2 linked regions of the Macaca fascicularis genome follow. The protein of the gene in region 1 interacts with the protein of each later gene in a pairwise test. Links are inferred from orthologs where the notes say so. Each region holds a gene or a part of one and is shown in the gene's direction. Other genes may lie near its edges. The genes, in order: TFDP1 and E2F6.

Region 1 (3,809 bases):
AGGTGTGGTGATGCCGTCACCGTGTCAAAAGCGTCCACCGCCAGACGTTTTTCCTGCCCCGTCGTGGCTGCTCGCTGTGGTTAACAAAATTCCACAGTGGCTGTGGATAGCGAACAGTTGGTGGGCGTGGCACCCTCGCCGTGTGGGCGGGGACTGACTGTCTGAATTGTCTTTTTTGACTATAGGTAATTGGTACGCCTCAGAGACCGGCAGCGTCAAACACCCTGGTGGTAGGAAGCCCACACACCCCCAGCACTCACTTTGCCTCTCAGAACCAGCCTTCCGACTCCTCACCTTGGTCTGCCGGGTGAGCACTTCCCTCCGGACCCTTAGAGTTGTAGGATTGCTTGCGGTTCGCACCTCCACGTTCTCCTGGGCCACGTGCGTGACACAGTCGCACGGTGGGGCTCCCATGCGCATTGATGTCAGCCTCCGAATCACACTCACCCATCATCGTGCCCCGCACAGGTGTGCAGTCGAGGCGCACTGCCTCGGTCACGGAGAAGTCGGGCTGGGCACTGCCCACCCTGCTTTGTGTCTGGTGTAGTGGGTGCTCTTGGAAGGGCTGGCAGCTCTTGGCCAAGACGGGGAGAAGCTGGCCTTGTACTTGCCACAGGACCTTGGAGACTTTTCATCGTCTGTGCTGGGAGCACGCGGGATGGATTTCACCCACTGCCCCTGAATGCAGCCTCTACTGCCCCTGGGGTTACGGCCCCCGTGAGTGGTCCCACCAGAGTGGCTCCTTCCACTAAAGCAAGATCTGATGAGCTGTGTCTTTCCTTAAAAAAACACACATGCAAAGCTACAAAAACCTACCTGTGTCGGTGCCCAAAGCTTCACCAGCTGGGACCGCAGGTGACCTTTCCCGCCACGTGGGGACTGACCAGAGTGTAGAGTTGGGCTTTCCCTCTGTGTGAAGAACACTTAGTGGTTTGCACCTGTTGTCAAGCGGCTATCACAGCCCAAGCCGTATGAAATTATAGCCTGCTGAAATTTGTCCTAAAAATTCCCAAATGTACACTGAAATGTCCCATAGTTCCTGATTCTGGTTGCCCTCTTTAGAAAAGTGATGCCTGTGGCTCACACCTGTAATCCCAGCCCTGTGGGAGGCCGAGGCCGGCAGATCATGAGGTCAAGAGATTGAGACCATCCTGGCCAACATGCTGAAACCCTGTCTCTACTAAAAATACAAAAAAATTAGCCAGGTGTGGTGGCGGGCGGGCGCCTGTAATCCCAGCTACTTGGGAGGCTGAGGCAGGAGAATCGCTTGAACCCAGGAGGCGGAGGTTGCAGTGAGCCAAGATCGTGCCACCGCACTCCAGCCCACTACAGAGCGAGACTCCATCTCAAAAAAGAAAAAAAAAAAAAGAAGTGCTTGGTGTACTGATAGGCCTCTCATATGCTGAGTACTGATAGGCCTTCCATATGCTGATTCGGGTCCTGGGGACGCCTCCCGTTTTCCCTGACACTTGGAAGGACAGAGGTGCAGCCTGCCAGGGAGACACTCGCTTTCTGACCTGCAGGAGCACTGGGCCTGGGGGCTGGGGCTAGGTGGTCCTGGCCTGCTCACGTGTTGGATCTGCTGCGCCCGTGGGATGTGGCCCCTTTTTGTGCAGCTCATTAGAGCTCTCAGGTAAAAGCATTCCTCGATTCAGACTGATGCTCAGGAGGGCTGACGGTCGCTTCTTTTTTCCTTTGTATTTTGAAGGAAGCGCAACAGGAAAGGAGAGAAGAATGGCAAGGGCCTGCGGCATTTCTCCATGAAGGTCTGCGAGAAGGTGCAGAGGAAAGGGACCACTTCCTACAACGAAGTGGCGGACGAGCTGGTCGCGGAGTTCAGTGCTGCCGACAACCACATCTTACCAAACGAGTCAGTAAGTGTGTGCTGGGGGCCGAGAGGCCAGGGTAGCGGAACCAAGTGGTGTGGCACGTTTTACTCTTTTAATATTGGGAACAGTTAAAACCATACAGAAAATTCCAAGTACAGCATGACAGAATTTTTCCCAGTCCATTTGCTGGCATGATGCTCTGTCAGCGTCAGTGAGCGAGCACGTGGGCTGGCTCTGCACATCCAGCGGCCCAGAAATGCAGACGTGCCCTCCTCGCCAGCTGGGCTCGACACCCGAGGGCCCCCAGCTCCCCTCCTGGAACACACTGGGATTCGCACAGCCCTGTCTTGCCCTGCATCATCTGTAGGGTGGGAGTGCTCCCTGAGGACGTGTTGGGGTGACAGCTCTGTGAGCGGGGTGCCCCTTCAAGCCGGTGCACGTGGCCTACAGTTTAAGGTGGGATCCACAGGCTTTTTTGGATCATTTGGAAAATCCACTCCCTGTCATCCGCAGGCTTATGACCAGAAGAACATAAGACGGCGCGTCTACGATGCCTTAAACGTGCTGATGGCCATGAACATCATCTCCAAGGAGAAGAAGGAGATCAAGTGGATTGGTCTGCCCACCAACTCGGCTCAGGAATGTCAGAACTTAGAGGTGGCCCTTCAACCTTGATTTCCCTTCAAGTCTGTGTAGATGTGTTTGTTGTCCGTCACTCAGAAGGGTCTGGGCTCCATGCCCTTATGCTCTCTGTGTCCAGACGGCTGGCAGACGGTCATGCAGACGTCTCCCTGCGTTTCTCAGTCTCGGCTGTCAGGGGAGGGAGCATGGTTGGCCCAGACCCACTAGAGTGTGTTAAACTCTAGCACAGGTTAATTGTGAATCCTAGTTTGTGGGATTTTTGTTTTCTTTTTAGATACCATAGTTAAATCCAAGAAATGAGAGGAGAGGGGAAAAGGTATAGTTTAGAAATGGAAGAAAAACTCACCTGTATTTTGTGGCATCTGCTATGTCTAGATTTGTCCATATCCCTTCGATTACATTCAAGGTAAACATAGGTAACACTGAGGATGCGGGTTGTAAAATGCACTGTATGGAACAATCGTGATGATTCTCTACATGGGGGGTTTGTTTTTGAAGGTGGAAAGACAGAGGAGACTTGAAAGAATAAAACAGAAACAGTCTCAACTTCAAGAACTTATTCTACAGGTAAGAGAATACATATCTTTGGAGGCAGGGTAATTTTTATTTTACTAATTTAGTTTTATAACAGCAACATACTGCCTTGGGTTACGCTCCTGTGTGGCAAATTAAATGACTGCTTTAAGATTCTGAGTGTGAGTTCATCTCATAGGTGTTGAATGTGGGCCGTGTTCCCAGAGCGAGGTTGTGTATGTGTGTGCGTATGCATGCATGCGTGCGTGTGTGTGTGCATGTGTGTGTGCACCTGCGTCCATGTGCCTGTGTGTGTGCATGTGTGTGCATGCCTGCGTGTGTGCCTGCGTGTGTGTGCACGCATGTGTGTGCGTGCCTGCGTGTGTGTGCCTGCATCCATGTGCCTGTGTGTGTGCATGTGTATGTGTGTATCCCTCGTCACAGTGTCTAAACAGCCAAAAGACAGATGGAGGGATGACTTCATGCAAAAGCAGCATTTGAAAAATCCCCTCAGAGGTGCTTAACCCAAGGCCCAGGTGCCAGGCGAGGCATGTAAAACTGTGGTGGGCGCAATGCACCTGGGTCTTGACAGTGCTGATCAGGGCCCTGGAGCTGGCCTTCCCCACCTCCCACTGAGTGCTGAGGGTGGGCGGCACCCCTGGGGGCCCCGTGTCTGGTGTGGAGGGGGTCGTGTGCAAGGTGCTCAGTGCAGAGCTGACTGCTGCTCTGGCCGAGGTGTGCTCGAGCCCTCCCAGAGGGGATGGTGTGGCAGCCATGGTGATGGAGACTCGTGGGCGAGAGCTGCTCAGGGCCACAGAGTCTGTC
Region 2 (4,450 bases), on another chromosome or scaffold:
GCATAGTGGCATGCACCAGTACTCTTAGCTACGTGGGAGTCTTAACTGGGAGACCACTTGAGACCAGGAGTTTGATGCTACAGTGAATTATGACCATGCCACTGCCCTCCAGCCTGGGTAATGGGGAAAAAAAAAAGATTAGAGACCTCTGACATCATAGTCTAGTGGGGAGCCAGCTTCTTCAGGGATTTCTCCCTGCCTCACCTCGCCCACCTCAGGCTGTGTAGAAACCCCCAGTCTAACCGGTTGTTTCCCTCCAACTCTGTACACACCACGGTGTGTTACCTTTTTGTTTCAAACATGTGCTGGCCTCTGTTCTAATCACAGCAACCTGTATCCATTAATCCATTTAATCCTCACAACAACCTTATCAGGTAAGTATTGTCATTATTCGCATTTTCCAAATAAGGAAACTGAGGCACAGGCAGATTAAGTAACTGGCTTAATAAGGTCTTCTGGTTTATAAGTAGGAGCCAGGATTTGAAAACACACCTCTGGCTCCAGCTTAATTAACATGCTCTGTTTACTTATCTGTCCCCACTGAAATTGGAGGTTGAACCTGTGGCATATCCAAATGAGTAAGTATCGCCTGTGCTCACCCCAATATCTGACACTATAGGTCCACGATAACTCATTCATCAAACAGGAAGGAGGGAGGAAGGAAGGAAGGAAGGAAGGCAGGAAGGAAGGAAGGCAGGAAGGAAGGAAAGAAGGCAGGCAGGCAGAAGTAAAACGATACCACAATGGTTTGGTTGCTCACATTTACTAAGCATCAACACTGACCCGCCTGTAAGATGTGCTAACAGAGCTCAGGAATAAATGAAGGCCGGGCGTGGTAGCTCATGCCTATAATCCCAGCACTTGGGAGGCCAAGGTGGGAGGATGGCTTGAGCCCCAGAGTTCAAGACCAGTCGGTGCAATATACTGAGACTCTGCCTCTACTAAAATTAAAATTAAAAATTAGCCGGGCGCAGTGGCGCGCGCCTGTAGTCCCAGCTACTTGGGAGGCTGAGGTGGGAGGATCGCTTGAGCCTAAGAATTCGAGGCTGCAGTGAGCCCTGACCACGCCACTGCACTCCAGCCTGGGCGACAAAAAAAAAAAAAATTAAAATTAAAAAAAGGAATAAATGAACATCTTTGCGGCTGAGAGCTTTCAGTTATCACCGTCGAGAATTCCAGGCGAGCGCTGCGTTTTCCCAGCTGCCTGTTTTCTCTCACCCCCGTTCCCTTCCTCTGGAATCCGGCTCCACCTCTTCCTTTTCCTTTGCCAGCCTCTCCGTGGATTCCGCGGTCCGGGTTTCCCGGGCGCCAGCCGCCGGGAGAGGATCGGTGCGTGGGAGCGCTCCGGCCGCGGCGGGCATGCGCAGAGGGGGGCGGTACACTGCGCATGCGGAAAAATGGCGGGCCGGGCTACTTGAGAGCCGCGGGTCTACCTCCTCCTTTCCCGTCTTCGTCGGGAGTTCCCGGGCACGTGAGGCAGTGCCGCGTTTGCTGGCGGGTGGGACGGCCTAGCCGGGCGGGGCCTTGGAGGACGCCGCGGATCCGTCAGTTTCTGGGCCCTTGGAAATCGGCGCGTGGGGGGCGGTGATCGAGCTGCGCGCGAGAGGGCGGGAGAGCTCGCGGGGTGCGAGGGGAGCGGGACGCCCGGCCGGGCAGCATGAGTCAGCAGCGGCCGGCGAGGAAGTTGCCCAGTCTCCTCCTGGACCCCGCGGAGGAGACGGTTCGCCGTCGGTGCCGAGACCCCATCAACGTGGAGGGACTGCTGGTAAGCTCCGGGACGGGAGGGGGACGGGCGGGGGTCTCCCAAAGCTGGCCCCCTCCTCCCCGCGCCGCCGCCAACCCCGCTGGCCGTCGTCTCGGTCGTCTGCTCCCCCTGGGCCAGGCGCTGCCCATCACGTGCTGCGAAACTGCGCTCTCCCGCCTTCTGCTTTCAGCATCTGTTCACAGACGTGGTGTCAGTCTTCTGGACTTTTACATCGGAACTTCAGGGCACTGTTGGAGAAAATTGCTCAACTTTGCATTGGAAAGGCCATGTTTTTCTCCTTCAGTGGACTCTAGCTGTATCTCTGCAACCTATCATTTGTTCTTCTACCTTCTCTCTCTTCTGCTCTACTGCAGCCGTTTAAAACCTTGTCCACGCTTTATATTTACCACGCCACAGCTCCCATTCATAAAATTATCTCCCCACCTGTTTGACGGAGAAAATGGTTAGGAGATTTGGCTCCCTTTCCCACAAAGACTGATTTCTTCTACTCTTGTTCTGGACCAGATACTGTATTCCCCGGTTCTCAAGGTCCTTAACAAATGCGTTCTTTTCCATTCCTCCCGTATTTTCTTTTTCTTTTTTTGAGATGGAGTTTTTACTCTTGTTCCCCAGGCTGGAGTGCAATGGCACGATCTCAGCTCACTGCAACCGCCGCCTCCCAGGTTCAAGCGATTCTTCTGCTTCAGCCTCCCATGTAGCTGGGATCACAGTCATGCGCCACCACACCCAGCTAATTTTGTATTTATAGTAGAGACGGGATTTCACCGTGTTGGCCAAGCTGGTCTCGAACTCCTGACGACCTCAGGTGATCCACCCGCCTCGGCCTCCCAAAGTGATGGGATTACAAGGCGTGAGCCACCGAGCCCGGCCTCTCCCCATATTTTCAATTTCTCTGCTGCTTTCTTCCTATAACTAGTAGTAATTAAACATTTTCCCAAGTCATTATGCCTGGTCCCCATACCAAATAGTTTGTGATTATTGTCTCATTTAATTTCTCACAGCAGTGTTTTATAATAGTAAAAGACTATTATTCTTGTTTTACGGTTGCCAAAACAGACCTGGAGATGCATGTAATGCCGGCTTGCCTGTGGCTAGATAGTAAGTGGAGAAACTTGGGTTGAACCTCCAAATGTCTAACTCCAGATGATAAATTCTTGACTACTAAAACCACATTCTCAATCCATCCCCATCTTAAAAGATCCCTCCCTTAATTCCATATCCCTTGCCATCTACTGTCTCTCTTCCCCTTCACAGCTAAACTTCTTGAAAAAGTTATTTACACTCACTCTTTCCACTTGATCGTCTCATTATCAGCCAACCCACTGCTGGGGACCCCTATCCTCAGCACACTTGTGAGACCATTCTAACCAGGGTCACCGACAATCTCGTCAATTCCAGCAGCTGTTGTAGTTTTGACACAAAACTACTTGTGTTGGAAACTCTCCCTTGAGTTTCCTTGACATTGATGTTCCATCTGCTTCTCTGGGCTCTCCTTGTCCTCATCCTCTTCCCAGTCCTTCATTTTTTTTTCCCCCGAGACAGGATCTCACTCTGTCACCCTGGCTGGAGTGCAGTGGCACATCCTGGCTCACTGCAGCCTTGACCTCCCAGGCTCAAGTGATTCTTCTGCCTCCACCTCTCTAGTAGCTGGGACCACAGGCACATGCCACAAGGCCTGGCTAATTTTTTTATTTTTAGATATGGAAGTCTTCCTGCGTGGCCCAGGCTGGTCTTGAACTCCTGGGCTCAAGCTGTCCTCTCACCTCAGTTTCCCAAAGTGCTGGGATTACAGGTGTGAGCCACCGTGGCTGGCCACATGTTGATGATATTCAGGGTTCTCTTCTGCTGTCTCTACACATTCTTCTTAGGGGAGTTCATTCTCTCCTCCCATGACTTATGTTACCGTCTACATTTGATCCTTGAACGACTCAGGGTTTGGGGCACCAAATCACATGAAATTCAAAATCTGAATATAACTTTGATTCCCCCAAAACTTTACTGTTTCCTGGAAGCCTTACTGATACTGTAAACAGTTGATTAACACATATTTTGTATTTACATGTATTAGTTAGTGTATTCTTATAATAAAGTAGCTAAAGAAAACGTTATTAAGAAAATCATAAATAAGAGAAAGTCCTACTCATTCAGGGGAATTAGATGATCGTAAAGGTCTTCATCCTTGTCTTCACACTGAGTAGGCTGATGAAGAGGAGTAAGAGGAGGAGTTGGTTTTGCTCTCTAAGTTGTGGCAGGGGGTAAAGAAAATTGGCATCTAAGTGGACCCACACAGTTCAAACCTGTGTTGTTTGAGGATCAGCTGTATATTGGTACCATCTGTATTGGTCGTCTTAATATTTGAGAATTTGATAAAAACTCTAAGCTCACTGTGGAAAAACCACTTAGTTTGCATGCAATATCAGCAGATACATCGCTTGAAATCTTAGACATACATTTCTGGTATTTTCAGTTACCATATCGTAATTCCCAAATCTATAAATCTCCCTCAGGGTTTTCCAGCTGTCTACTAGACCTTCCTACTTAGGTTTCCAACTCCTATTAGTCCCCCCTCATCTGAGGTTTCACTTTTCTTGATTTCATTTAACCTGTGGTCCCCCAAACTATTAAAATGAAAATTCCAGAAATAATTCATCAGTTTTAAAATGCTTGCCATTCTCCATAGTGTGA

What was found.
Region 2: the proteins of TFDP1 (region 1) and E2F6 interact in binary tests that used the Homo sapiens proteins (3 or more experiments, as listed by UniProt). The link is inferred for Macaca fascicularis from reciprocal best matches to the Homo sapiens genes TFDP1 and E2F6.

The regions. Positions count from the first base shown.
Region 1 is NC_088391.1:104,025,098-104,028,906, forward strand, and holds part of TFDP1 (transcription factor Dp-1), read left to right. Parts: intron 1-185; coding exon 186-307; intron 308-1,708; coding exon 1,709-1,874; intron 1,875-2,342; coding exon 2,343-2,486; intron 2,487-2,969; coding exon 2,970-3,038; intron 3,039-3,809. UniProt on the Homo sapiens protein: Can stimulate E2F-dependent transcription.
Region 2 is NC_088387.1:110,642,977-110,647,426, forward strand, and holds the start of E2F6 (transcription factor E2F6), read left to right. Parts: upstream 1-1,378; 5' UTR 1,379-1,657; coding exon 1,658-1,765; intron 1,766-4,450. UniProt on the Homo sapiens protein: Inhibitor of E2F-dependent transcription. Binds DNA cooperatively with DP proteins through the E2 recognition site, 5'-TTTC[CG]CGC-3'. Has a preference for the 5'-TTTCCCGC-3' E2F recognition site.